Anolis sagrei: one gene and its partners. The protein of the gene in region 1 interacts with the protein of each later gene in a biochemical or structural test. Links are inferred from orthologs where the notes say so. Each region holds a gene or a part of one and is shown on either strand. Other genes may lie near its edges.

Region 1 (6,979 bases):
ATTGGCTATCCTTCCCAATTTGGTGTCATCTGCAAACTTGATGATCCTGCCTTCTAACCCTTCATCTAAGTCATTAATAAAGATGTTGAACAGGACCGGGCCCAGGACAGAACCTCATTTACATCATTCCCCACATCCAAAGCACCCTGATCCTGAAACAAAATTACAGGCTGAACTACAACAAAAACAATAAATAAGACAAATAAGATTTCTGATAACAAAGCCGACTCATCATTCTTGTTCATCTCGTGGTGCCAGAGTGCAGTTTGTTCAGCGCCTTCCAAGTCGCCCAGTTTTCTGTGTGCCCAGGGGGGAGTCTCTCATTTGGTATCAGCCATTGATTGAGATTCTGGGTTTGAGCCTGCCACTTTTGGACTCTCGCTTGCTGGGGTGTTCCAGCGAGTGTGTCTGTAGATCTCAGAAAACTATTTCTTGATTTAAGTGGTTAATGTGCTGGCTGATACCCAAACAGGGGAAGAGCTGGAGATGTCACTGCCTTGGTCCTTTCACTATTGCTTGCTACTTCCTGGCGGATGTCAGGTGGTGCAATACTGGCTAAACAATGTAATTTCTCCAGTGGTGTAGGGCGTAGATTTCATTAATCCTTTAATGAAAAGTGATTACCGTAATATTGATTCGCAACTCAAAGTAATTCTTGCTGATTCCTTATGCCAATATGTTTCTCTCTCTCTGAAACCTGAATTTGCCTGAAGCAAACAGTCAGGACCAAATGAACTGAGTGCTTCTACTGTACAGGGCTGCCCTCCAGATAACACATTTATGTACGTTTGCTATAATAGCTGGCAGACGTCCCATGGGAGGCTTTGGTTAGCCACTGTTGACCAAGATGACCCTTTGATCTTCTCTAGCATGGCACTTTTAAAGGTTTTTGATAGTTTAATTGGTTGATTTTGTGATAAAAATGTGCTCTTTGCCAAAAAGCAGAGGATTTGGGGACAGAGTACAGTGAACACACAGAAATCGTATGCTTCAATAGGACAAAATCTTACCAAGAAGCCAAAATGCAATTGTTGATGCCAACTGGGTCAGCAGATAGGTTCTCCAGCTCCACATTTCACCAGCAAATCTGAATGGCTGGCACTTGTTCATCCAAGCTGTTTAGGCTCTTGGGGATTTCAAAGTACTTTGAAGTTGGATCTGAAGAATGTTGGCTAATTAATGGAAGTATAACTTGCTGCGAATGTTCAGAGGGACTCATCAGCACTGGCAATAATAAAAACTGTGGACTTCATCACACTGAAGCAAGGAAGTGTTTGGAAGAGCTCAGTCTGACTCAGTTTTGAAATGAAACTGATGATTTCCCTACTTTCATCACACTGTAAAATGTATCCGTGTTACTCAGTTGTACTCAGCATTTTTTCAGTAGATTTGCCATCACACTGTAATCACTAGGCACTGCTCACCATCCCTCCTCTCTTTGAAATGTCAGCTGTTACGTGTCTTCAATTTCGGAAGCAGGGGGGGGGGGGAATGTGGCAATGTCCTCTCAGCTGCCCCACAGAGAAGGGTGTAGACCTTGGAAAACTATAACTGCCAGGACTGCATAATATGGAGCTATGGTATTGAAAGTAAGATCCAACTGCATTCATTTCAAAGTGTATATGCACCAAGAGAAGGGCACTGACCTTGGAAAACTATAACTCTCAGGACTGCATAATATGGAGCTATGGAATTGAAAATAAGATTCAACTGCATTCATTCAACAGTGTAGATGCACCAAGAGAAGGGTTGACCTTGGAAAACTATAACTCCCAGGACTGCATAATATAGAGCTATGGTATTTAAAGTAAGGTCCAGCTGCATTCATTTCATGGTGTAGATCAGTGGTTCTCAACCTGTGGGTCCCCAGGTGTTTTGGCCTACAACTCTCAGAAATCCCAGCCAGTTTATCAGCTGTTAGGGTTTCTGGGACCCACAGGTTGAGAACCATTGGTGTAGATGCATCCAGAGAAGGTTCATGGACCTTGGGAAACTGCAATTCCCAAGAGCAAGTCATGGAGACATGGCATTTAAAGTAAGGTCCAACTGCATTAATTTCACAGTGTAGATGCACCAAGAGAAGGGTATCGACCTTGGAAAACTATGACTCCCAGGACTGCGCAGCATGGAGACAATGCATAATTAATAATAATAATGATATTTAGTCTAAGGATATGTCTGAACTGGAATGCAATTTAGGGCCACTTTAACTGCCATGGCTCAATACTATGGGATCCTGGGATTTATAGTCTGGTGAGGCACCAGCACTCCTTGACAGAAAATGCATCAGACCTTGTAAAACTATAGTTCCTATTATGCCATAGCACTGGTCCCTGGCTCTTAAAGTGGTGTCAAACTGCATTCATTTTACAACGTAGATGAACCCTAACAGGGAAATAAACTGGTAGCGTACTTTCTTAGATTAAAGACGCATCCTGTCGAATTAAGTAAATTTGTCCCCATTTAAACTGTCATGGCTGAAAGTTATAGACTCAAGACACTGGCAGATATAGCCTTCGGTTTTCTCTGCCAAAGAATGTTGGTGCCTCCCAAACTACAACTCCCATAAATCCACAGCATTGAGTGGCAGGAGTTAAAATGGGGCAAAACAGCATCAATTCTAATGTAGATGCACCTTTAGGCCTCATCTACACTGCCACATAAAATCCAGATTGTCTGCTTTGAACTGGATATGGCAGTCGAGACTCATATAATCCAGTTCAAAGCAGATAATATATGGCAATGTAGATGGGACCTCAGGGCCCTTCCACACAGCTATCTAACCCTGAATATCAAGGCAGATGATCCACAATATCGGCTTTGACCTGGGTTATCCCAGTCCACATTGTCATATAACCTGGTTCAAAGCAGATAATGTGGGATTTTATACGGAAGTGTAGATAAGACTTCAGGACCCTTCCCCACAGCCCTATAACCCAAAGCAGATAATATATTGCAATGTAGATGGGACCTCAGGGCCCTCCCACACAGCTAATCCTGAATATCAAGGCAGATATATCCCAGAATATAAAGGCAGAAAATCCCACAATATCTGTTTTGAACTGGGTTATCTGAGTCCACACTGTCATATAACCCGGTTCAAAGCAAATAATGTGGATTTTATATAGCAGGGTAGAGGAGACCTCAGGGCCCTTCCACACAGCCATATAACCCAGAATATCAAGGCAGATAATCTACAGTATTGGCTTTGAACTGGGTTATCTGAGTCCACACTGTCATATAACCCGGTTCAAAGCAGATGTGGGATTTTACATGGCAGTATAGATGGGACTTCAGGACCCTTCTCCACTGCTATATAACCCTTAATATCAAGGCAGAAAATCCCACAATATCGGCTTTGAACAGGGTTATCCGAGTCCACACTGTCATATAACCCGGTTCAAAGCAGATAATGTGGGATTTTATATGGCAGTATAGATGGGACTTCAGGGCCCTTCCCTACAGCCATATAACCCAGAATATCAAGGCAGAAAATCCCACAATATCGGCTTTGAACTGGGTTATCCGAGTCCACACTGTCCTATAACCCGGTTCAAAGCAGATAATGTGAGTTTTTTATCAATGCACCCCCAACCTGAAGGGGGCTCCCAGACCCGCTTTGGGCCCGATCGGCGCCCCCTGCGTGTGCCTCCAGCCACGTGTTTACGCCTCTGCCTCTTCCCCACGCATCAGAAGCCACGTGCTCCCTTCCAGGTCCAGCCGCCCGCCGACTACATTTCCCAGGTAGCCGAGCCGTACCATTCCCGCTCGACGAAGGGGGGAGGTCGTATTCTGAGTCGTCCCGTTCTGCTTCCCGGGGACCTCTTCCCGACAAAGGATGGTGGGGGTCAAAAGGGGCCGGCGTGGTCCTCAAGTGCACGGGAAGGGTTTTCTCTAGCGGGGAGGCAGAGCGCGGCGCTGCAAGGGGGAGCCCAAGAAGAGCGGACACCCCTCTGTGGGGGAATGGTTGCGCCCGACCCTCTCCTCGCAGCAGCAGCAGCAGCAGGCGGCGGCCGGGGCCCGCAGAAGCAGCCCAACAGGAGAGGCAGGCAGGCAGAGAAGCGGGAGAAGGACCCCCAGTTGGAACGCAGGCGGCTCACAGAGGGGGGGTGAGAGAGACCCGGAGGGGGTGCTGCTCTGAATGGGAGGGGGTGATGAGGAAGGGAGGGGGAGGGAGCGCAGAGGGAGCAGCCCCCTCCCTGCCTGGAAAGAAGGGGCGGGGCTGGGGAGGGGGAGGGGGAAGGGCATTTTGGGAATGGGGGTGTAGGGGGTCATGGGAGAGGAGCACCCACAAAGATGCATTCATTGATGGATTGTGTGGGTTCCTTTCCCCACCCCCCACCCCACTTTCTCGAGTGGGTGGAACAAGGGACATATTTTGCATATTTAATTTTTGCATATTTAATTAATTTAATTTTGGGAAATCCATATTTGATTTTGGAATTCCCCAAAGGACTTGATTTTAGGAGCATCTATCTGCATGCACACACTATGTGCATTGTTGGGTTGCTGTGAGTTTTCCGGGCTGTATGGCCATGTTCCAGAAGCATTCTCTCCTGACGTTTCGCCCACATCCACAGCAGGCATCCTCAGAGGTGGTGAGATCTGTGCATTGTTGGGTTGCTGTGAGTTTTCCAGGCTGTATGGCCATGTTCCAGAAGCATTCTCTCCTGACGTTTCTCCCACATCCACAGCAGGCATCCTCAGAGGTTGTGAGGTCTGTGCATTGTTGGGTTGCTGTGAGTTTTCCAGGCTGTATGGCCATGTTCCAGAAGCATTCTCTCCTGACGTTTCACCCACATCAGGCATCCTCAGAGGTTGTGAGGTCTGTGCATTGTTGGGTTGCTGTGAGTTTTCCAGGCTGTATGGTCATGTTCCAGAAGCATTCTCTCCTGACGTTTCACCCACATCCACGGCAGGCATCCTCAGAGGTTGTGAGGTCTGTTGGAAACTAGGCAAGTGAGGTTTATATTGGTAAAAAGTAAAGGTTTTCCCCTGACGTGAAGTCCAGTTGTGTCCGACTCTGGAGTGTGGTGCTCATTTCCATTTCTAAGCCGAAGAGCCGGCGTTGTCCATAGACACTTCCAAGGTCATGTGGCCAGCATGACTGCATGAAGCGTCGTTACCTTCCCACCAGAGTGGTACCTATTGATCTACTCACATTTGCATGTTTTCAAACTGCTAGGTTGGCAGGAGCTGGGGCTGACAGCGGAAGCGCATGCCACTCCCCGAATTTGAACCTGCAACCTTTCAGTCAACAAGCTCAGCAGCTCGGTGCTTTAACCCACTGCACCACCGGTGGCTCCTACCCACCGGGGGCTCCTAGAGCAGTGTTTCTCAACTTGTGGGTCCCCAGGTGTTTTGGCCTACAACTGCCAGAAATCCCAGCCAGTTTACCAGCTGTAAGGATTTCTGGGAGTTGAAGGCCAAAACATCTGGGGACCCACAGACTGAGAACCACTGTCCTAGAGGTTTATATATCTGTCTTTTATTCGTGTTGTATTTTGAAATAGTCATATGGCTGGTCAGATAAATAAATTATTATTATTATATATCGGTGGAAGGTCCAGAGTGGAAGAATCAACTCTTGTCTGCTTGAGGTCAGTGTCCAGGTTTCAATGGTCCACTTTCATTTATTTATCGTGTTTGGAGCGAACCAAAACAGTTGTATTGCATTAAACACAAACAAACAAACAAAACGCAAAGTTTGCAGACTTTGTATTCTATTAAATGTCCTTTGACCAGTAGCTGGCCACTTGGGTAGCCTCTGGTGTTGCTGCAAGAAGGTCCTCCATTGTGCATGTGGCAGGGCTCAGGTTTGTATTTTTTTGGTCGTGTCAGGAGTGACTTGAGAAACTGCAAGTCGCTTCTGGTGTGAGAGAATTGGCCGTCTGCAAGGATGTTGCCCAGGGGACGCCCGGATGATTTGTTGTTTTTATCATCCTTGTGGGAGGCTTCTCATGGCTCAGGTTACATTGCAGTAGGTGGTCTGTGGTTTGCTCTTGGCCACCTTGATTAGCATTGAATGGCCTTGCAGTTTCAAGGTCTGGCTTCTTACTACCTGGGGTAATTCTGTCTTAGAAGGTGATTAGCTGGCCCTGATTGTTTCTTGTCAGGAATTCCCCCTTTTTTAGTGTTGTTCTTTATTTACTGCTATGATTTTAAGAGTTTTTTTTTTAAATACTAGTAGGCAGATTTTGTTCATTTATCCATTAAATACTAATCAAGCTGGTCAATTGAAATGTTCACACCTAGCTCCAATAGGCAAGAGTTCTTTCTCCCACCCTGGACTTTCTACAGATATAAACCCAATTTTCCTAGTTTCCAACAGAACTCACAACCTCTGAGGATGCCCGTCATAGATGCAGGCGAAACTTCAGGAGAGAATGCTTCTGAAACTGGGGGTCCTTCCACACAGGATATCAAGGCAGAAGATCCCACATTATCTGAGTGTGGACTCAGATAACCCAGTTCAAAGCAGATATTGTAGGATTTCCTTGATATTCTGGGATACAGGGCTGTGTGGAAGGGCCCATGGTCAATACAGCCTGGAAAACTCACAACAACCCAGTGATTTCGGCCATGAAAGCCTTCAACAATACATATGTGTGTTATGTTTGGAGTGCTGATTATTCTAGGTAAGGAATTCCACGCCATTCCTTTGGACCTGATAGGGGAAGTAGACTCTGTTAACTGAAACTCTCAAGCAACCAGAAAATCAGTTTTTAGTAGGAATGTCTGTTTAAGTTCATTTGGTTTTTTATTTCTCTCTGTTTCATTTTCATGGCTGTATTTCAATATTACTATCATGTCGATACAGAGTTTATGACATAGTCTGAAAAAGAGTGAAAACATGGCTTTAGGATCAAGCCTTTGGTGAATAATACAGTGCAATAGATGGAATTATGTGCAGTGACTATTGGAACAGCCTGGACTGTTCTTGCAGATAGGATGGTTTATAGTAGTAATTGTAATGTTT
Region 2 (7,070 bases), about 100 Mb from region 1:
TTGACCAAAATGTTCTTTCTCCTGTTAATTCAAGATGTTTGGAACAAATAATAGTACTTAAAAGAGTCATAGGGCATGTTTCAATTATCCCAGAGCTTTGACTTGAGAACTTTCTCCCTCTTTTTTTGGTCACTCTGCCAAATCCAGCTATCTAGAAAATAGTTTAGAACAGTGGTTCTGAACCTGTGGGTCCCCAGGTGTTTTATCTACAACTCCCAGAAATCCCAGCCAGTTTACCATCTGTTAGGATTTTTGGGAGTTCAAGGCCAAAGGTTATAACTGTAACTCCTGAGCTTTCTAGATATACTCAAATAGCTATTAAAAGCAGTTAGGTAATATTAATTCAGCATGGATAATAAATGTGATAGAATAACCAATACCCGAAATAAGCCCCAGGGCCCTTCCATACAGCCCTATATCCCAGAATATCAAGGCAGAAATTCCTACATTATCTGCTTTGAACTGAATTATCTAAGTCCACACTCAGAAAATGTGGGATATTCTACCTTGATATTCTGGGATATAGGGCTGTGTGGAAGGACCCTCAGTGTTCTCAAGAAAAAACCATGTTTGGGATTAGAATAATGCTGCATACTGTCACTGTGCTCTGTTAACAACACAACTCATACTGTTGTGTTGGCATAACCCCATTTAATGTACTGGGAGTGAGGCAAGCATCCGCTGCCCTATGCTGACTCAGCAGCCACTGCATGATCCCAATCTGAAATATTTGCCCATTCATAAAGGCAGTCTTGCCAATTCCAGCCTAAAACAAAGACTGGCATCCTGCAGCCGAACTTGCTGACTAGTCAGTTTAAATTACAAGGAGACAGTTACACCATTAATGTGGCGATCTAAATCTTTTTACGTGTCCAGGTTATAAATTGTGATTTTGGAGGAACTGTAACATGTTTCGCTGCGGAATCCATCTGCAGTGCCAGGAAAGTCCTTTTGGAGAGCTTGCTTTTCCTGGCAGCTTACTTGAGAAACAGAAAATGGCCATTATTTTTGCTAACTTCAGCATATCCTCTCCAGATGTCAGTGAGAACTAAGAAGCAGAGAAGGACAGGACTTCCAACTATAGGAAGCAGCCTAAAAGAAACATAGGACACAACTCTCCACATACAACAGGGAAAATCAACAGGCTTCCTTGTGAAGAGCACATTTTTCTACATGCCATGAAATGGCAGTTTCAGCATAACCAGTTTTCCCCCAACACTACAAGCTGGCTATACAGCAAAACTCCCTATTCTTTTCTCTGCCATCTTCCAAACCACTTTCTGAAGAGTTTCAATTTCCAAAATGTAACTATTATACTAATTCTGTATAAGCTTAAAGGGATATAATGCAGCAAGACTGAAATACACTGAAACTCTACTCTGGAGCACATATGTGGGGATTAAAAGATTCAGGATGAGAAGAAGAGGAGGCGGCAGCAGCAGTGACTGGACTGGAAGAAGTTTTATTTACAGCTCCGGGGTTGGCTCAGTGGGTAACCTGAGTCTCTTACAATAGCTCCTTTTATTTTTGAAGCACTGCATTGGCAAAATGCTCAGAGATCTGTTGACTGAGAGCATCGCAAGCGAAACTCTGGTAAACTGTACAGTCTGTATTCTGAGCAGATTAAAACCCCTTCCTTTATTATAGATGCAATTATTTCCATGAAGGGGACTGTACCTTTAATGTAACAACTTCAGCATGGGATGGCGAAGAGGGCAAGTGTTGCTTCCAGTCTCCCAAGACGGCAAAGGGTATTTATTAAAGGTTTGGCCTCGACTGAGGCAGGATGCCCCAACATGGTATAAACAAACCAGCTCCTTCCACCAGATCAGTATTTCTGCCAAGGCCAACCCACTCCATTTCCACTCAGTTTTGATCTAAAGCAGGTGTGGGCAAACTTGGGCCTTCCTCCAGGGGTTTTAGACTTCAACTCCCACAATTCCTAACAGTTGGTAGACTGTTAGGAATTGTGGGAGTTGAAGTCCAAAACAAATGGAGGAAGGCCCAAGTTTGCCCACACCTGTTCTAAAGGCATTCCTTGCCCAAGGCCCAGAGGGAGAAGCCAATGGTTTGAGCCATTGCCCCAAAAGTACAGACAATTCCTTCTCTTTCTTTATTTTTTTGGGGGGTGGGGGTGGGGGCATCCTTTACACCTTCTGTCTCTAGCTCAGGCATGGGCAAACTTGGGCCTTCCTCCAGGTGTTTTGGACTTCAACTCCCACAATTCCTAACAGCCTAGCGGCTGTTAGGAATTGTAGGAGTTGAAGTCCAAAACACCTGGAGGAAGGCCCAAGTTGGCCCATGCCTGCTCTAGCTGAACCCTTCTCCTTCTTCCAAATGTATCCTGATGCCTACTTCCATAACAGGAGAGGAAAAGGAAGGAAAGAGGGGAACTTCTCAATCTTTTTGCCCTCTCACCAGCTTGGGGGCAAAATCCAGACGGCCCCCTTCTTCCTAGACACGAAAGGAAAGAGGGGGGAGCAGGGGAGCCAGGACCCCCAGGGAGGCGCGGGCCCTTTAAGGAAAGGAGGGCCAGCCCCAGAACAGGCCCAAAGCAGAGGGGACGAAGGAAGGTGGGCAGGGGGAGAGCAGGGCCGCACTTGCCTCTTGAAGTCCCGCATGAGCCTCCGCCTGGCCGGAGTGGACATGGTCTCCCCTTTTCCCGGTGGTAAAATAATCCCCGCTCGGCCTCAAACAGCCTCGGCACCAAGGGCGGCTCACTCCTCGTCCGCTGCCGCCGCCTCCTCCTGCTCCGCTGCTTCACAAACAACTCCGCAATGGCGTCTCCCTCCGCCAGCGGGAGGGAGGGAGGGAGGGAGGAAGGCAGCCTCCCTTCGGGACCGTACCACTGCGCCTACTTGGAGGGGGGAGGGCAGGGAGCCTTAGGAACGTACCACTGCGGAAGCGGAGGGCAGGGCGGCGGAAGGCGCTTTCCCTCTCCTCCCAGGAACTTCGCTTCGACATTCCCATGCGTTCAGGGAAGGAGAGGCAGCGACATCATGTCTTTTCCCATAGAGTTGGAAGAGACCACAAGGGCCATCCGGTCCAACCCCCTCATTCCATTCCAATGTAACAACAACAACAACTCCTCCGCCCTGCTGGTGGAAAGAGTTGCTTTGGTTGGCCTTTGAAATCTTTATTACCCTTTAAGGCAGAGTTTCACACAATCCTTAAACAATTAAAAAAATGTCTTGTCTTACCATCATCTGAATGGGATGGGCAAAATCTAGATGGATTTCATGGCAGGTGTGTTGAATGATTTGCAGTACATCAGCAAATTATTATTATTATTATTATTATTATTATTATTATTATTATAAACACAAAAACAATGGCTTCAAACTACAAGAGAGGAGATTCCATCTGAACACGAGGAAGAACTTCCTGACCGTGAGAGCCGTTCAGCAGTAGAACTCTCTGCCCCGGAGTGTGGCGGCGGCTCCTTCTTTGGAAGCTTTTAAACAGAGGCTGGATGGCCATCTGTCATAGAATCAAAGCGTTGGAAGAGACCTCAGGGCCATCCAGTCCAACCCCCTACCAAGAAACAGGAATATTGCATTCAAATCACCCCTGACAGATGGCCATCCAGCCTCTGTTTAAAAGCTTCCAAAGAAGGAGCCTCCACCACACTCCGGGGCAGAGGGTTCCACTGCTGAACGGCTCTCACAGTCAGGAAGTTCTTCCTCATGTTCAGATGGAATTTCCTCTCTTGTAGTTTGAAGCCATTGTTTCGCATCCTAGTCTCCAGGGAAGCGGAAAACAAGCTTTCTCCCTCCTCCCTGTGGCTTCCTCTCACATATATATACATGGCTATCATATCTCCTCTCAGCCTTCTCAGTCAGGGGTGATTTGAATGCAATATTCCTGCTTCTTGGCAGGGGGTTGGACTGGACGGCCCATGAGGTCTCTTCCAACTCTTTGAGTCTATGATTCTATAGTACACACCAAACAAGGTCACTCTGCTGGCTACTGTATTGGATCACACGTCAGACACTTCCCAAGTGTCTAGGACTGTGTGATGTGTCTGCAAATAATGCATGCAGATCCAAGTAGGGTGGTCTTCTGCAGCTGACTGATGGTGATTTTGTCAGTGCCTATTGCTTTTAAGTCGAGGCCATGGTCTTTAAGCACTGCACTCAGTATGCTGATCGATTATTATTATTATTATTATTATTATTATTATTAGAAACACAACAAGATGAGTCCACAGCAAGCAAGATCACTCTGCTGGCTGTTGTAATCGATCACATGGACACTTCCCAAAGTGTCTAGGACTGTGTGATGTATCGGCAAATAATGCATGCAGATCCTAGTACGGTGGCCTTTTGCAGCTGAAAGATTGTGATTTTGTCAGTGCCTATTGTGTTTAAGTGGAGACCAAGGTCTTTAGGCACTGTACCCAGTGAGCCAATCACCACTGGGACCATCTTTACTGGTTTGTGCCAGAGTCTTTGCAGTTTGATCTTTAAATCCTCGTATTGTATCAGCTTTTTTAGTTGTTTCTCTTCAATCCTGCTGTCACCTGGGATTGCAAGCTCTAGAATCCATACTTTGTTTTTTAACACGATCGTGAGGTCAGGCATATTGTGCTCCAAAACTCTGTCAGTCTGAGTTCGGAAGTCCCAAAGTAGCTTGACGTGTTCATTTTCTGTGCTGGTCATAGTGTAAACTACCAGTAGGTTCAACCAAGCCAGAGTGGGCTCAACTGAGAAGTAGAACTAAGTGCATCCAACCCATTTAAATATGGTAAAACAAACTCTAAAGAAATTTAGACTGGCTTGGTCGCTGCCCAGGATAATAAGGGCCGCGGCGAGTGCTTCTCCTGGGCACCCGTTGACAAGTGGGCTACAGAAACCAGGACCTGCTGAGCAACCAGGGCATGGGCCTGTAGTTGGAAGCAAAACAACCACAGAAGTACTATTATTGTTATTATTATTATTATTATTATTATTATTATTATTATTTTGGTACTCTGATTCAGACAGCAAAATGTCTTTGGCCAGGCCTCAGAAAGTTCAGCATGAATCTGCATCCTGTTGCAAGTAACTTGATGTTATAAGCAAGGTCTTCGAATCAATTTAAAGGTGCAATCGTTTTATTCTTATCTGCCTTTTGTTCAAAACTAGATCTAATGATAATTTACATACAAAAAGAAGTACAAGTACATCAGTCAATTATATTTCAATAGATTTTTTTAGTGCCAGAACAATTAACTGTATACATCATCATAATAAAATACAATTCCAAAACTGATGGTGTTTATGTAATAGACCACATGTTTAAATTGGGAACACTTTACTTTAAATATATATTTGCAAACAAGCCAAGACTAATATTAAAGATCAGAAAATTGCATTGGATAGACCATATCAGCTCTAATTTCTGATATAGAACATATGCCATGGTCAAAGACAGGGAAGGAATGTGAAAGGAGCAGAAATAAAATAAATAATAAATAAATGAAGAGGAAGAAGGCATGCAAACCAGATTTTTGACCTTGCGGCCCACTGGTGGTCCACAGCCCACAAGTTAAGAACCACTGGTCTATATCAAGGAAAGAAATGGTGCCTCTCTATTCTGCTCTGGTCAGATTCAGCTGGGATACTGTGCCCAATTCTGGGCACCACAATTCAAGAGGGATATTGACAATCTGGAACATGTCCAGAAGAGGGTGACTAAAATTATCAAAAATGTGGAGACCATGCCCTATAAGGAGCAACTTAAAGAGCTGGGCATGTTTAGCCTGCAGAGGAGAAAGTTGAAAAAAGACATGATCGCCATGTATAAATATGTGAAAGGATGTCATAAGGAAGAGAGAACAGGCTTATTTTCTTCTGCCCTGGAGACTAGGACTCGGAGCAATGAGTTCAAATTACAGGAAAGGAGATTCCACCTGAACATTAGGAAGAACTTCCTGACCAACAGTTGAACTCCCAGTCTTGGAGTGTGGTGGAAGCTTTTAAATAGAGGCTGGATGGCTATCTGTTGGGGTGCTCTGATTGTGCTTTTTCTGTATTATGGAGGTTGTATTAGATGGCCCATGTAATCTCTTCCAATTCGATGATTCTACTATAATGTTTTCCAAATTTTTGTGTGTCAGAAGTGACTGAAAATCGCTTCTGGTGTGAGAGAATTGGCCATCTGTGGGAGGCTTCTCATATGTCCCCGCATGGGAAACTGGAGCTGACAGATGAGAGCTCACTCCATCTCACAGATTTGAACCGTTAACCTTCAGGTCAGCAATTCAGCTAGCGCAAGGGTTTAACCTATTGTGCCACCATAGCTCCTTATCTTTTCCAGTGAGTCATATTGTCTCATGATGCATCCAAAATAAAACAACCACAGCTTGGTAATTTTAGTTGTCAGTGAAAGTTTAGGTTTGATTTGTTCTAGGGCTTTTTTAAACGATTTCCCTAGACCTTTTCTCCAGGACTGTATTTAAAATGAATTCACCATATTATCTTCCTTTGCTATCTAACTTTCTGAATCATACATAGAAACTGAAAATACTATGGTTTGAGTGATATATACTGATGGGATCATGAGCTGTCAGCAACTGACTCAGAAAAGGATCTTCCCTTATGGTACAAAGTTCAACAAAATCAGACTGTGGCTGCTATAAAAAAGCTAAAGTCCACATTGGCCATAATTAAAAGGGAAACTGGAAATAAAATTGTCAGTATAATACTGTACATTTGGCTCTCCATATCCATGGATTCAACTATCCATGGCTAGAAAATATTAAAAATTAATTCCAAAAGACAAAATCTTGGTTTTACCATTTATATAAGGAATGCTTTTCTACTATAACATTGTGTATAATGGAACTTGCACATCCATGGATTTTGGTATCAATGTGTGTGTGTCCTGGAACCAACTCTGAGGGCTATTGTAGGAGAAGGAGAGGAGGCAGAGGAGGAGGTTGTGGTGGAGGAAGAATTTTTGTTACCCGCCTCTCCTCTCAAGGTGGGATCCAACACAGTGAAAACACCTCAACATAGAATACATACACCAAAACACATGGTACAAAATACAGTGGTAATAGAACGTGAATCCAAAACTCATGGTTC
Region 3 (7,827 bases), on another chromosome or scaffold:
GCTGAGGCAACAGGAAGTGAGAGAAATCTACTTACCAGAAGGGAAATTTACTCCTGGAAGAGTTATTATCGGGAGGAAAGGGGTCTCCACTGAAGCTTTATCCTCGATCCTTGTTTCCACAACAAGCCAAATTTCCCAAACTCCCATTCTCACAGGGACAGAAAGTGAGGTGAAATCTTCCGAACAGGGGCACAGAAGGTAACACAAACACCACAGGGGTGTTCACCCTCCTCTATGTGATCCTAAGCTAAATATACATATAGATATGCATATACGTGTGCATATATATATAAATTTGGCTGAAGTTACATTTAGAAAATGTACTTGTTTCGACTTACAAACAAATAGACAGTAACACAAACACCACGGGGGGGTTCATCCTCCTCTATGCGATCCTATACACAGACACACACACACACATATAGATTTATTTATTTATTGCTGGAGTTACACTTAGAAAATGTACTCGTTCCAACTTACAAACAAATTCAACTTAAGGACAAACCTACAGAACGTATCCTGTTTGTAACTTGAGGACTACCTGCAGACAGTATTACTTTGGCAGGACCCACTGTGCTTTCATGTTATTATTGCACACTGGGTGGGAAGATATAAATAGATAATGGTAACAACAACCATAACAATAATGTAACAACAACAATGCCATTTCAGGAGCCTTCCTCTAGGTTAGGAGGTCAGGCCAATGTCTGCCCAAGGCGTGCACTCAGGACCCGCCTTGCAAGTTGGGCTACCAAGGTATATAGGGTCAGGTGAGTCACTGGGACCTGTTTTCCTACCTCCAGAAGTGAAGTTGCGACTGAGAACCTCCCCAGCGGCGTTTTTTTTGCCCCGTCATCAGGTCGTCCAGCCGGTCGGACTTCCTGGCCGCTCAGATCAACCCCAGGGCAAATGGCATCAGTTTGGAAGGGACACCCATCCCACTACTGCAGGCACAGTCAAACTTCAGCCCTCCAGCTGTTAGTAATTGTGGGAGTTGAAGTCTAATACACCTGGAGGGCTGAAGTTGGCCCATGCCTGCTCTAGTGGCTCAAAGCATTCTCTAGTTATACAATGAATATATCACTGAGATTCAACCAATTCAACATACGTTGTGGCAGCCACGGAAACAAAGTTTCTGGAGTAGAACAACTCTTTACAAAGTAAGGACCACACAATTAAACAGGAAATCACACATTCAAACCAGAACAGATCCATACCTGCTCCTGCCCCCTCCCCAAATGTTTTGTTATATAGTATAACAACAGCCAATGTAGCATCTGGACAAACGAACTAGGCCAACAAAGGAGAAATACTTGCCTAACGACCAGCAAATTTGGGACTTACTAATTCACTAGTTATGATAATTAGTATTTGTTTATTGCGGGAAATTGTAGAATGTTATTTGAAGCAGATGTGAGATTATACAACCACATTTAAAGGGAATTGATTAAAAGTCAGCAGGCAGTGAGTAAGAGGTCAGGCGAGAGTCTGTTGTTTTGGTGCTTTGTTTTAATGTTTATGTTTGTTACTCATAATAGGCCCATCGCAATAGGATTGATTAGAATTATAAAGACCCAAAACTCATCATTGGTGTAAACATGCTTTTGTCTTGTCTTTATGAAAATGAGATGGGAGGGGTGGGTTAGGAATTAGTACAGTGGTTCTCAATCTGTGGGTCTTTAGATGTTTTGGTCTTCAACTCCCAGAAATCCTATCAGCTGGTAAACTGGCTGAGATTTTTGGGAGTTGTAGGCCAAAACACTTGGGGACCCACTGAATTAGTATAATATGATTCAAAGCAGAAGTGGGGTTATACAATAGCATCTAAAGGGGACTAGACTAAAAAGAGAGATAAAAATAAACAGTGATGGAGAGGTTTGCCTATGGGACTTGAATTCGAACCATCGACTTTTCGGTCAGCAGTCCTGCCGGCACAAGGGTTTAACCCACTGCGCAACCAGGGGATCCTATATATATATATATATATATATATATATATGAATATAATAAGAATATAAATAAATATATTAAATATATTAAATATATATTTAATAATATTTTAGCTTTGAATATAATAAGAATATAAATTAAATAGAAATAAAGCAAGGTGTGTTTAATTTACCTTAGAATAAAATATATATATACATATATATACATATATATATATATAATTATATATATATAAACGAATATAAATATAATAGAAATATATTAAAGAAAGATGTGTAATTTACCTTTGAATAAATATTCCTATGTAATATAACAATAACAAAAATTCCTATGTAATAGAATAATTAATATTCCTATGCAATATAATAATTTGTTACATATAAATAAAGGTGTGTAATTTTATATATATATATTTATATATAATAAAATATATTCCTATGTAATATAATATTCCTTAATAATATTATACTAATATCCCTATGTAATATAATAATAAACGTTCCTATGTAATATAATAACAATAAATATTCCAGTGTAATATAATATTCCTTAATAATAATAATAATAATAATAATAAATATTCTTATGTAATATAATGGTAATAAATAATATTCCCTGATCATCATCATCATCATCCACTCCAGCCCTGGGTGCGAGGCCTGCTTGCCTTGAAGTAGCCTCCCTGGTAGTGGGTGTTGGGGGGTCCGAAGATGGCCACCTCCCAGTTGTAGAGGTCGCCTTCGTCCACCAGGCTGACGCGGAAGCCCTCCACGGGCTCCTCCTGAAGGCCCTTCAGCTCCAGGAGCAGCGCTTTCGCCGAGCTGGGCACCGCCGGACGTGCCATGCTCCAAAGCAGGCCGCGAACGAAGCCGGGGACTCGCGTGACGGGGGCGGCCCGGCTGCGGAGACGAGAGCGCGGCAGTAGGTGCTGGGGAAGGAACAGCACCGCCGGAGGAGGCTGAGGGGAAGAACAAGGCTGAGAGAGAGCGAGCGAGCAACCAGCCAGCCAGCCAACCAGCCGCCGCCGCGAGCGGGGTTGCCTGGGATGCGTAGTCCCGAGGGCGGGGGAAAGGGGAGGAGCCAGCCGAGGCCTCCGCCAATAGGAGGCGGGACCGTAGGAGGGGGCGGGGACTCTAGAAGGAGCCGAAGACTACACCTCCCAGAAAGAAAGCCTGCGGCAGGAAGCCGGAAGTGGAGGAGGAAAAACAAAGAGGCAGAAGGAAACAAACCCACAGAAGAAGTTTCCTAGGCGTGTGTGCCCGCTTCGTAAAATAGACCAAAATTGTGCCTTTCCAGAATTAGGAATCTCCAATACCAAGTCCCAGAAGCACTTTAATAGAACTAAGATTGCTGCACACTGCACTTACCCTATAATCCTACATACCTCCTGTCACATCAGCACTTTTAATCTTTTCCGAGCCCAATTCAAGGTGCAGGTGCTCACCTACAAAGCCCTAAACGGTTTGGGACCACCCTACCTGCGTGACCACATCTCCATCTACGAACCCACACGCTCGCTCCGATCATCTGGGGAGGCCCTGCTCGTGATCCCACCCACGTCGCAAGCGCGCTTGGTGGGGACACGGGACAGGGCCTTCTCTGTGGCGGCCCCCCGACTTTGGAACGCCCTTCCAAAAGATCTCCGACAGGCCCCTACTCTAGCTGTTTTCAGAAGGAATTTAAAAACTTGGCTGTTCCGTTGTGCCTTCTCAGACTAGGAATCCCCACCCCAAGTCCTAGTAGCACCTTAGCATAACTAATCGTCACTGCACACCGCACTTTTAATCCTACGTACCTCCTGCCATTTCAGCACTTTTAACCCTTGTACCCCATTGCGCCGGCCGAACCAGTTTTAATAATGTCTTGATGTACTGCCATTGTCGTTATTTTTGCTTATTGTTTTGATTTGCTTTGTTATTTTTGTGTTATGTTTTCTATTGTATTGTGTTTTGAGGCTTCGGCCTGTGTAAGCCGCATCGAGTCCTTCGGGAGATGCTAGCGGGGTACAAATAAAGTTAATAATAATAATAATAATAATACCCATTACTCTGGCCCGGCCCAGTTTTATAGTGTCTTGATGTATTGTTTATTGCTTGTTGTTAATATTGCTTTAACTGTTTTTAATTTGCTTTAGGTGTTGTATTGTTGTGTTGTGTTTTGAGGCCTTGGCCTATGTAAGCCGCATCGAGTCCTTCGGGAGATGCTAGCAGGGTACAAATAAAGTTAATAATAGGTTCTTGTGGGGTTTTTTGGGATATATGGCCATGTTCTAGAGGCATTTCTCCTGACGTTTCGCCTGCATCTATGGCAAGCATCCTCAGAGGTAGTGAGGTCTGTTGGAAATAGGACAATGGGTTTATATATCTGTGGAACGGCTGGGGTGGGGCAAGGAGCTCTTCCCTGCTAGAGCTAGGTGTGAATGTTTCAGCTGATCACCTTCATTAGCATTTGAAGGCCTGCCTGAGCCTGGGAAAACCTTTTGTTGAGAGGTGTTAAGATGTGCCTGGTTGTTTCCACCCAGAGGAAAAGTGTTCCTGCCATACATCAAGGGAACCACTGACCGCATAGGGAAGCTGATGAGGAAACACAACATACAAACAATCTACAAACCCACCAAGAAAATCCAACAAATGCTACGTTCAGCAAAGGACAAGAGGGATCCTCTCACCTCTGCAGGAGTCTACCGTATACCATGCAGCTGTGGACAAGTCTACATAGGGACCACCAAACGCAGCAGTATTGCCCAAACACGAATCAAGGAACATGAAAGGCACTGCAGACTACTTCAACCAGAGAAGTCAGCCATAGCAGAGCACCTGATGAACCAGCCTGGACACAGCATATTATTTGAGAACACAGAAATGCTGGACCACACCAACAATGTCTCTGTGTCAGACTACACAGAGAAGCCATTGAAATACACAAGAATGTGGACAATTTCAACAGAAAGGAAGAGACCAGGAAAATGAACAAAATCTGGCTACCAGTATTAAAAAACTCTAAAATTACAACAGCAAAACAGCAGAGAGGAAACAACCAGGCACATCTTAACACCTCTCAACAAAAGGTTTTCCCAGGCTCAGGCAGGCCTTCAAATGCTAATGAAGGTGATCAGCTGAAACATTCACACCTAGCTCTAGCAGGGAAGAGCTCCTTGCCCCACCCCAGCCGTTCCACGATATATAAACCCATTGTCCTATTTCCAACAGACCTCACTACCTCTGAGGATGCTTGCCATAGATGCAGGCGAAACGTCAGGAGAGAATGCCTCTAGAACATGGCCATATAGCCCACAAAAACCCACAAGAACCTAGTGATTCCAGCCATGAAAGCCTTCGACAATACAAAGTTAATAATAATAATAATAATAATAATAATAATAATATTACGAGCCATCCCGTGCCACACGTTGCTGTGGCCCAGTCTGGTGATCTGGAAAATAAAGTAATGAGAATGTGTCGGTTTCTAATTTATTATTTATTTATTTATTATTTGAACTTATATGCCGCCACTCCCCTGGGACTCGGAGCGGCTCACAAGAATGGCTAAAATCTAACAAAATTTAAAAGCAATTTAAAAATAGCAATATCAAACATTAAAAGCCTGTCGAAACAGGTATGTCTTATATGCCCTGCGGAAAGCTGGTAAGTCCCGCAAGGCACGGACTTCAGGTGGCAAAGTATTCCAGAGTGATGGTGCCACTGCTGTGAAGGCTCTGCGTCTGGTTGCTATTAGACGAAAGGTCTTGACACTGGGGACTTCCAATAGATCTTGGTCCTCAGAACGGAGGGATCTCTGGGGTTGGTAGGGGGTGAGGCGGTCCCTCAGATACATCGGCCCCAAACCATGCAAGGCCTTAAAGGTGAGTACCATCACTTTGAAAGTGATCCGGTGCTCAATTGGTAACCAATGCAGCTGTAGTAAGATTGGTGTTATGTGGCATCTCATCGGAATTCCCGCAAGAAGCCGAGCAGCTGCATTTTGTACCAACTTGAGCTTCCGGATCACCGACAGAGGAAGGCCAATGTAGAGGGCGTTACAGTAGTCCAGTCTTGAGATGACCGTGGCCTGGATCACCGTAGCTAGGTCGTCCCTGGACAGGTAGGGGGCCAGCCGTCTAGCCTGCCGCAGATGAAAGAAGGCGGTTCTGCTAACGGCGGATACCTGGGCCTCCATCGTCAGCAGAGGGTCCAAAAGGACTCCTAGAGTCTTTACCAATGATGACGGGCGTAGCGCCCTGCCATCCAGGGTAGGCAACTGGATGTCCCCATTGCCCAGTCAACCCAGCCATAGGATCTCCGTCTTTGCTGGATTCACCCCTAATATATATGTAATGTCTTTATGCTTGTGAGTAAACTACTTCTTGTTGTTTTTTTGTCAGTGTTGATGTGGAGATTGCCTGGTTTGCCTACTCTGGAACATGTAACATATCATTGTCCTTCTTTAAGGGTCCCTTTCAAATCTATGGTATTATGTCTGTCATATACATATATGTGTGTGAATCATGTATATCTATATCTATGGCTGTATAGCTCTCTGTCAGGAGGGCTTTGATTATGTTTTCTTGTCCTGGTGAGGGGAGGTGGACTGGATGGCATTAAGGCAGCATTTCACAACCTGGGAGTTAGCACCCCGGGGGGAGGGGGTTGTGAGGAGGTGTCAGAAGTGTTGCCAAAGACCACCAGAAAATACAGTATTTTCTGTTGGTTGTGGGGGTTCTGTATGGGAGGTTTGGCCCAATTCTATCGTTGGTGGGGTTCGGAATGTTCTTTTATTGTAGGTGAACTATAAATCCCAGCAACTAGAACTCTCAAATGTCAAGGTCTATTTCCCCCAAACTCCAAATATTCATATTTGGGCATATGGAATATTCGTGCCAAGTTTGGTCCAAATCTATCATTGTTTGAGTCCACAGTGCTCTCTGGATGTGGGTGAACTACAACTCCCAAATTCAAGGTCAGTGTCCACCAAACCCTTCTAGTGTTTTCTGTTGGTCATGGGAGTCCTGTATGCCACATTTGGTTCAATTCCATCATTGGTGGAGTTCAGAATGCTCTTTGATTGTAGGTGAACTATAAATCCCAGCAACTACAACTCCCAAATGACAAAATCAATTGTTTGAGTGAAAGACATACATTGGGTTGTTAGGTATATGCTGTCCAAATTTAGTGTTAATTTCTTCCAGTGCTTTTTGAGTTCTGTTAATCCCACAAACAAACATTATTATATAGATTGTGTATGTATATATACACACATATACATACGAGCACACATGTATGCTCTCTGGAGGCAGGTGCTTCGCAAAATAGACCATACATTTTAAATATACTGGTGTATCTATATACACACACACATAGTATATATATATATATATAAACACACACACCTCTACATATGAACACACACACACATATATATATATATATGAATATACACAAGGCAATATATATATATACATACATACATATGTGCATCTATATGATTTATTTTTTGTGTCAGGAGCAACTTGAGAAACTGCAAGTCGCTTCTGGCGTGAGAGAATTGGCCATCTGCAAGGACGCTGACCGGGGACACCCGTTTTTTTTTTATGTTTTACCATCCTGTGGGAGAGTTATTTCATGTCCCTGCATGAGTAGCTGGAGCTGGCAGAGGGAGCTCAACCCACACTCCCCGGATTTGAACTGCTGACCTGTCGGTTAGCAATCCTGCCGGCACAAGGGTTTAATCCATTGTGCCACCGGGCGCTCCATCTATATATGATCATATATGAACATACATACATATATATCCTTGTGTGTGTTCATATATATGTTCATATGATTATATATATACATTTATCTTCATATATATATGAGTAGATACATATGTTCATGTATT
Region 4 (7,790 bases), on another chromosome or scaffold:
TAGTAATGATAAGATAGTATTATAAAATAAGACTCTCATAATAATAACAACAGATTAATAATAATATAACAATAAGACGTTGAGAAATATAATAATAATGATATAATAATAATAATATAAGAAGACTCTGAGTGGCAAGGCCTAGCAAGGAGATATATAAGACTCAATAATAATAGAAATGATAAGATAGTATTATAAAATAAGACTCTCATAATAATAACTGATTATTAATAATATAACAATAAGAAAATGCTGAATAATATCATAATGATATAATAATAATAATAATAATAATAATAATATAAGAAGTCTCTGAGTGGCAAGGCCTAGCAAGGAGTTATATTATATAAGACTCAATAATAATAGTAATAAGTTAACATTATAAAATAAGACTCTAATAATAATAATAATAATATATTGATAATAATATAATATAATAATAAGAGGCTGAGTAATGTAATAATAATGATATAATAATAAGAAGATATTATAAAATAAAGACTCATAATAGATTAATAATAATATAATATAACAATAAGAAGAGGCTGAGTAATATAATAATAATGATATAATTATAATTATAATAATATAAGAAGACTCTGAGTGGCAAGGCCTTATATAAGACTCAAAAATAATAGCAATAAGATAATATTATAAAATAAGACTCTAATAATAATATATTGATAATAATATAATAATAAGAGACTGAGTAATATAATAATGATATAATAATAATAAGATAATATCATAAAATAAAGACTCATAATAATAATAGATTAATAATAAAATATAACAATAAGAAGACGCTGAGTAATATAATAATAATAATGATATAATAATATAAGAAGTCTCTTGAGTGGCAAGGCCTAGCAAGGAGATATATTATATAAGACTCAATAATAGTAGTAATGATAAGATAGTATTATAAAATAAGACTCTCATAATAATAACAACAGATTAATAATAATATAACAATAAGACGTTGAGAAATATAATAATAATGATATAATAATAATAATATAAGAAGACTCTGAGTGGCAAGGCCTAGCAAGGAGATATATAAGACTCAATAATAATAGAAATGATAAGATAGTATTATAAAATAAGACTCTCATAATAATAACTGATTATTAATAATATAACAATAAGAAAATGCTGAATAATATCATAATGATATAATAATAATAATAATAATAATAATAATAATATAAGAAGTCTCTGAGTGGCAAGGCCTAGCAAGGAGTTATATTATATAAGACTCAATAATAATAGTAATAAGTTAACATTATAAAATAAGACTCTAATAATAATAATAATAATATATTGATAATAATATAATATAATAATAAGAGGCTGAGTAATGTAATAATAATGATATAATAATAAGAAGATATTATAAAATAAAGACTCATAATAGATTAATAATAATATAATATAACAATAAGAAGAGGCTGAGTAATATAATAATAATGATATAATAACAATTATAATTATAACAATATAAGAAGACTCTGAGTGGCAAGGCCTTATATAAGACTCAATAATAATAGCAATAAGATATTATAAAATAAGACTCTAATAATAATATATTGATAATAATATAATATAATAATAAGAGGCTGAGTAATATAATAATGATATAATAATAAGATAATATCATAAAATAAAGACTCATAATAATAATAGATTAATAATAAAATATAACAATAAGAAGACGCTGAGTAATATAATAATAATAATGATATAATAATATAAGAAGTCTCTTGAGTGGCAAGGCCTAGCAAGGAGATATATTATATAAGACTCAATAATAATAGTAATGATAAGATAATATTATAAAATAAAGACTCATAATAATGATAGATTAATAATAATACAATATAACAATAAGAAGACACTGAGTAATATAATAATGATGATATAATAATGTAAGAAGTCTCTTATATTATAAGAGACTTCTAAATAATACTCTAATAATATAATAATAATAATAATAATAATAATATAAGAAGTCTCTGAGTGGCAAAGCCTAGCAAGGAGACATATTATATAAGACTCAATAATAATAGTAATAAGATAATATTATAAAATAAGACTCTAATAATAATAATAGATTGATAATATGTAACATAATAAGAGGCTGAGTAATATAATGATATAATAATAAGATGATATTATAAAATAAGACTCTAATAATAATAATAGATTAATAATAATATAATATAATATAATAAGAGGCTGAGTAATATAATAATTATGATATAGTAATAAGATAATATTATAAAATAAGACCCTAATAATAATAATAGATTGATAATAATATAACAATAAAAAGACGCTGAGTAATATAATAATAATGATATAATAATATAAGGCAAGGCCTAGCAAGGAGATATATTATATAAGTCTCAATAATAACAGTAATTATAAGATAATATTATAAAATAAAGATGATAATAATAATATAATATAACAATAAGAGGCTGAGTAATCTAATAATAATGAGATAATGATAATCATCTAAGAAGTCTCTGAGTGGCAAGGCCTAGCAAGGAAAGGCTACGCCAAGTGCGTAAGCCGCTGTGGTGCGGGGCTCCCCATTGGTTGCCGGGCGCGCGTTACGCCAAGAGCGCGGTGGCTACGCAGTTGGCGCAGCGCTCCCCCGCCCGGCCGCCATGTTGTCTCTCCTGAGGGCTCCTTCTTCTCCGTCTCGGCCCGACTCGCTCCCTTTCCCGGGCCCAATCCCCTCGCCGCCCGGCCGCGCTGACCGTTTGAAGTCCCGCATGAGGCGCCTCCGGGCGGGCGTGGACATGGCGGGCTCTCGGCCAGGCGTCGCTCGCACTCCGCTCGCTCGGCTCCTCGCCTCGACACTGGCGCTCCCGACGCGGCCGGCGCCCCTAATCCCGCAGTGGTCGCGCCCGCCGCGCCTGCTCCCTCCACGCCGGACCGCACCACTGCTCTCGCCAAACAGGGGGGCACGGAATGGGACAATAAACAGGCAAGGGGCGGGGCCAGGGGCCGGCGAATCACATCTCGGAAAGGACACAAAGGGGCGTGGCTTCCGCAGGCTTGGGAAGGCAGCGCTCGCAGCCGTGACGTCATCCGCTCTGGGCGATACCAAGGCGCGGGCGAATAAAGGGGGGGAAATGGGAAGGAACCATAATAGTCATGGCATAGAATGGCGCAGGGGAAGCTTCTCTTCTATAATAATAATAACAATAATAACTATTATAATAAATATAATAAATATAATATATAATATAATAGTACAGGGATGGCTTCTCTTCTAAAATAATATAATACACAGGGAAGAGGCGGGGCTAGCGGCCAGCGAATCACATCGCGGGAAGGACACAAAGGGGCGTGGCTTCCGCAGGCTTGGAAAGAGAGCTCTCAAAGCGCTGACGTCATCCTCTCTGAGCGATACCAACAAGCGGTGAATAAAGGGGGGGAAATAGGTGGAAGGAACCATAATAGCCATGGCATAGAATACTGCAGGGGGAGCTAATAATAATAAATAGAATAATAATAATAATAATAATAATAATAATAATAATAATAATGATAATTAATATGATAGTGCAGGGAAGCCTCTATTCTAAAATAATAATAATAATAATAATAATAAATATAAATATAAAAATATAATATAATTGTGCAGGGGAAACATAATAATAATACATATAATAATAGCAAATATATTAGTGCAGAGGAAGCTTCTCTTCTAAAATAAATATTATATATATATATATATATATATATTTGCTCGGGGGGGGGAACTCTTTTTCTATGATAATCAAAATATTGTGATAATAATATAGTGCAGGGGTAGCTTCTCTTCTAAAATAATAATGATAATGAATATGATAGTGCAGGGAAGCTTCTCTTCTGAAATAATAATAATAATAAGAAGAAGAAGAATATGATTGTGCAGGGAAGCTTCTCTTTTAAAATAATAATAATTATAATAAATATATAATAATAAATATATAAATTTATGGAACACTTTGAAGAACAAGCCCTGGAGATAGCAACCAAAAAGCCCACGATATGGTTCAGAGATGTGGATGACACCTTCACCATTTGGAGCCATGGAGAAGAAGAACTCAACAGGTTCCTGGAACATCTCAACAGCATCCACCCAAACATCCAGTTCACCATGGAAAAAGAAAATGAAGGAAGACTGCCTTTTCTAGATGTCCTCATCATCCGCAAACCAGATCCACAATTGGGTCACACCGTCTACAGAAAACCCACACACACAGATAGATATCTACATAAAAACTCCAACCATCACCCAAGTCAAAAAAGAAGCACCATTCAAGCTCTGGCAGACCGTGCAAAGAGAATCTGTGAACCCCACCTCCTCCAAGAGGAACTGAACCCCCTCAACTGGGCTCTCCAGGCCAATGGAGACTCCACCTCAGACATCAGAAGAGCTGCAAGACCACCGAGAAGAAGCCACGAGAGTCAAGACGAAGACCCACCCAGAGGAAAAGTGTTCTTGCCAGACATCAAGGGAACCACTGACCACATAGGGAAGCTGATGAGGAAACACAACATACAAACAATCTACAGACCCACCAAGAAAATCCAACCAATGCTCCGTTCAGCAAAGGACAAGAGGGATCCTCTCACCTCTGCAGGAGTCTACCGTATCCCATGCAGCTGTGGAGAAGTCTACATAGGGACCACCAAATGCAGCGTTGTCCAAACACGAATCAAGGAACATGAAAGGCACTGCAGACTACTCCAACCAGAGAAGTCAGCCATAGCAGAGCACCTGATGAACCAACCTGGACACAGCAGATTATTATTTGAGAACACAGAAATGCTGGACCACTCTCACAACCACCAGGTCAGACTACACAGAGAAGCCATTGAAATCCACAAGAAGCATGTGGACAATTTCAACAGAAAGGAAGAGACCATGAAAATGAACAAAATCTGGCTACCAGTATTAAAAAAACTCTAAAATCACAACAGCAAAACAACAGAGAGGAAACAACCAGGCACATCTTAACACCTCCCAGCAAGAGATTTTCCCAGGCTCAGGCAGGCCTTCAAATGCTAATGAAGGTGGTCAGTTGAAACATTCACACCTAGCTCCAGCAGGGAAGAGCTCCTTGCCCCACCCCAGCCATTGTCCTAATTCCAACAGACCTCACTACCTCTGAGGATGCTTGCCATAGATGCAGGCGAAACGTCAGGAGAAATGCCTCTAGAACATAGCCCTATAACCCGAAAAAACCTACAAGAACCTAAATATATAAATATAATATAATTGTGCAGGGGAAACTTCTCTTCTGAAACAATAATAATACATATAATAATAATAAATATAATAGTGCAGAGGAAGCGTCTCTTCTAAAATAAATATAAATAATAAATAATAATAAATATAGTTGCTCAGCGGGATCTTTTTTTCTATGATGATGATGATGATGATAATAATAATAATAATAATAATAATATTTATTTATAGTGTCAGGAGTGAACCAAATAATAATAATAATAATAATAATAATAATAATAATAAATATAATCAAAATATAATAATAATAATAATAATAATAATAATAATAATAATAAAGGTCAGGGGTAGCTTCTCTTCTAAAATAATAATCTATATAAATAAAAATGTAATGTTCGTTCGTGCTACCATCAGAACTCAAAAACCACTGAGGGAATTGACACCAAATTTGGACACAAGACACCTAACAACCCAGTGTATGTCCTGCACTCAAAAAAATTGATTTTGAGATTTCGGAATTGGTGGTGCTGGGATTTATAGTTTACCTACAATCAAAGAGCATTCTGAACTCCACCAATGATGGAATTGAACCAAACATGGCATACAGGACTTCCATGACCAACAGAACACATTGGAAGGGTTTGGTGGGCATTGACCTTGAGTTTGGGAGTTGTAGTTCACCTACATCCAGAGAGCACTGTGGACTCAAACAATGATGGATCTGGACCAAACCTGACACAAATATTCCATATGCCCAGATATGAACACAGATGGAGTTTGGAGGAAATAGACCTTGACGTTTGGGATTTGTAGTTACTGGGATTTATAGTTCACAACAATTAAAGACCATTCTGAAACCCACAAACGACAGAAATGGGGCAAACTTCCCACACAGAACCCCCATGACCAACGCAAAATACTTAAGGCCATCCAGTCCAACTCCCTTCACCAGGGCAAGAAAACGTAATCAGAGCCCTCCTGACAAAGAGCCATCCAACCATAGATAGATAGATATGATTCTCACACACACACACACAGATATAGTATCATAGATTTGAAAGGGACCCCTAAAGAAGGACTATGATATGTTGCATGTTCCAGAGTAGGCAAACCAGACAATCTCCACATCAACACTGACAAAGAAACAACAAGAAATACTGTTTACCCACAAGCAGAAAGACATTACATATATTAGAAACCAACACTTTCTCATTACTTTATTTTCCAGATCAACAGACTGGGCCACAGCAATGCATGGCAGGGGACAGCTAGTATAATAATAATTAGAGATCCCTTGCCACGCGTTGCTGTGTCCCAGTCTGGTGATATGGAAAATCAAGTAATTAGAAAGTGCTGGTTTCTAATCTATGAAATGTCTTTATGCTTGTGGGTAAATAGTATTTCTTGATGTTTGACAGTGTTGACGTAGAGATTGTCTGGTTTGCTTACTCTGGAACATGCAACATAGAATTGTCCTTCTTTAGGAGTCCCTTTCAAATCTATAATACTTTATCTGTGTGTGTGTGAATCATATATATCCATCTCTATCTATGGCTCAGTAGCTCTCTGTCAGGAGGGCTTTGCTGATGTTTTCTTGCCCTGGTGAAGGGAGTTGGACTGGGTGGCCTTGAGTATTTTCTGTTGGTTATGGTGGTTCTGTGTGGGAAGTTTGCCCCAGTTCTGTCATTCGTGGGGTTTATTCAGAATGGTCTCTGATTGTAGGTGAACTATAAATCCCAGTAACTACAACTCCCAAATGCCAAGGTCTATTTCCCCCAAACTCCACCAGTGTTCATATTTGGACATATGGAATATTTGTGCCAAGTTGGTCCAGATCCATCATTGTTGGAGTCCACAGTGCTCTCTGGATGTAAGTGAACTACAACTCCCAAACTCAAGGTCAATGCCCACTAAACCCTACTAGTGTTGGTCATGGGAGTTCTGTCTGCCAAGTTTGGTTCAATTCCATTGTTCAGAATGCTGTTTGATTGAAGGTGAACTATAAATCCCAGCAACTACAACTCCCAAAGGAAAAATCATAATTTTTTGAGTGATGGTCACTCCTTCCATTGTGAGACGTTTCGTTGCCAAATTTAGTGTGATTTCGTTCATTGGTTCTTTTGTTTTTAAGGTACTCATTATGCACAGAGCATTTATATATATATTATATATAGAAGAGATAGATAGATAGATGGATGGATGGATGGATGGATAGATAGATAGATAGATAGATAGATAGATAGATAGATAGATAGATAGATAGATAGATGTTGTTGTTGTTCATTCGTTCAGTCGTCTCCGACTCTTCATGACCTCATGGACCAGCCCACGCCAGAGCTCCCTGTTGGCTGTCACCATCCCCAGCTCCTTCAAGGTGAGTCCAGTCCCTTCAAGGATACCATTCTTCCGCCTTGCACTTGGATGGCCCCTCTTCCTTTTACCTTCCACTTTCCCCAGCATCATTGTCTTCTCTAGGCTTTGCTGTCTCCTCATGATGTGGCCAAAGGACTTCAGCTTTATCTCTAGTCTCCTTCCC

Evidence for each region.
Region 2: of the proteins of UBA1 (region 1) and UBE2B, one has a biochemical effect on the other in vitro, tested with the Homo sapiens proteins (10 studies listed by BioGRID, with this or other methods). The link is inferred for Anolis sagrei from reciprocal best matches to the Homo sapiens genes UBA1 and UBE2B.
Region 3: of the proteins of UBA1 (region 1) and CDC34, one has a biochemical effect on the other in vitro, tested with the Homo sapiens proteins (7 studies listed by BioGRID, with this or other methods). The link is inferred for Anolis sagrei from reciprocal best matches to the Homo sapiens genes UBA1 and CDC34.
Region 4: of the proteins of UBA1 (region 1) and UBE2A, one has a biochemical effect on the other in vitro, tested with the Homo sapiens proteins (6 studies listed by BioGRID, with this or other methods). The link is inferred for Anolis sagrei from reciprocal best matches to the Homo sapiens genes UBA1 and UBE2A.

The regions. Positions count from the first base shown.
Region 1 is NC_090022.1:193,378,021-193,384,999, reverse strand, and holds the start of UBA1 (ubiquitin-like modifier-activating enzyme 1), read left to right. Parts: upstream 1-3,977; 5' UTR 3,978-4,109; intron 4,110-6,979. UniProt on the Homo sapiens protein: Catalyzes the first step in ubiquitin conjugation to mark cellular proteins for degradation through the ubiquitin-proteasome system.
Region 2 is NC_090022.1:91,998,891-92,005,960, forward strand, and holds the start of UBE2B (ubiquitin-conjugating enzyme E2 B), read right to left. Parts: upstream 3,003-7,070; 5' UTR 2,649-3,002; coding exon 2,605-2,648; intron 1-2,604. UniProt on the Homo sapiens protein: E2 ubiquitin-conjugating enzyme that accepts ubiquitin from the ubiquitin-activating enzyme E1 and transfers it to a E3 ubiquitin-protein ligase. In vitro catalyzes 'Lys-11'-, as well as 'Lys-48'- and 'Lys-63'-linked polyubiquitination.
Region 3 is NC_090034.1:52,346,086-52,353,912, reverse strand, and holds the start of CDC34 (ubiquitin-conjugating enzyme E2 R1), read right to left. Parts: upstream 3,008-7,827; 5' UTR 2,795-3,007; coding exon 2,618-2,794; intron 1-2,617. UniProt on the Homo sapiens protein: E2 ubiquitin-conjugating enzyme that accepts ubiquitin from an E1 ubiquitin-activating protein, and catalyzes its covalent attachment to other proteins by an E3 ubiquitin-protein ligase complex. In vitro catalyzes 'Lys-48'-linked polyubiquitination.
Region 4 is NC_090030.1:3,051,129-3,058,918, reverse strand, and holds the start of UBE2A (ubiquitin-conjugating enzyme E2 A), read right to left. Parts: upstream 3,004-7,790; 5' UTR 2,813-3,003; coding exon 2,769-2,812; intron 1-2,768. UniProt on the Homo sapiens protein: E2 ubiquitin-conjugating enzyme that accepts ubiquitin from the ubiquitin-activating enzyme E1 and transfers it to a E3 ubiquitin-protein ligase. In vitro catalyzes 'Lys-11', as well as 'Lys-48'-linked polyubiquitination.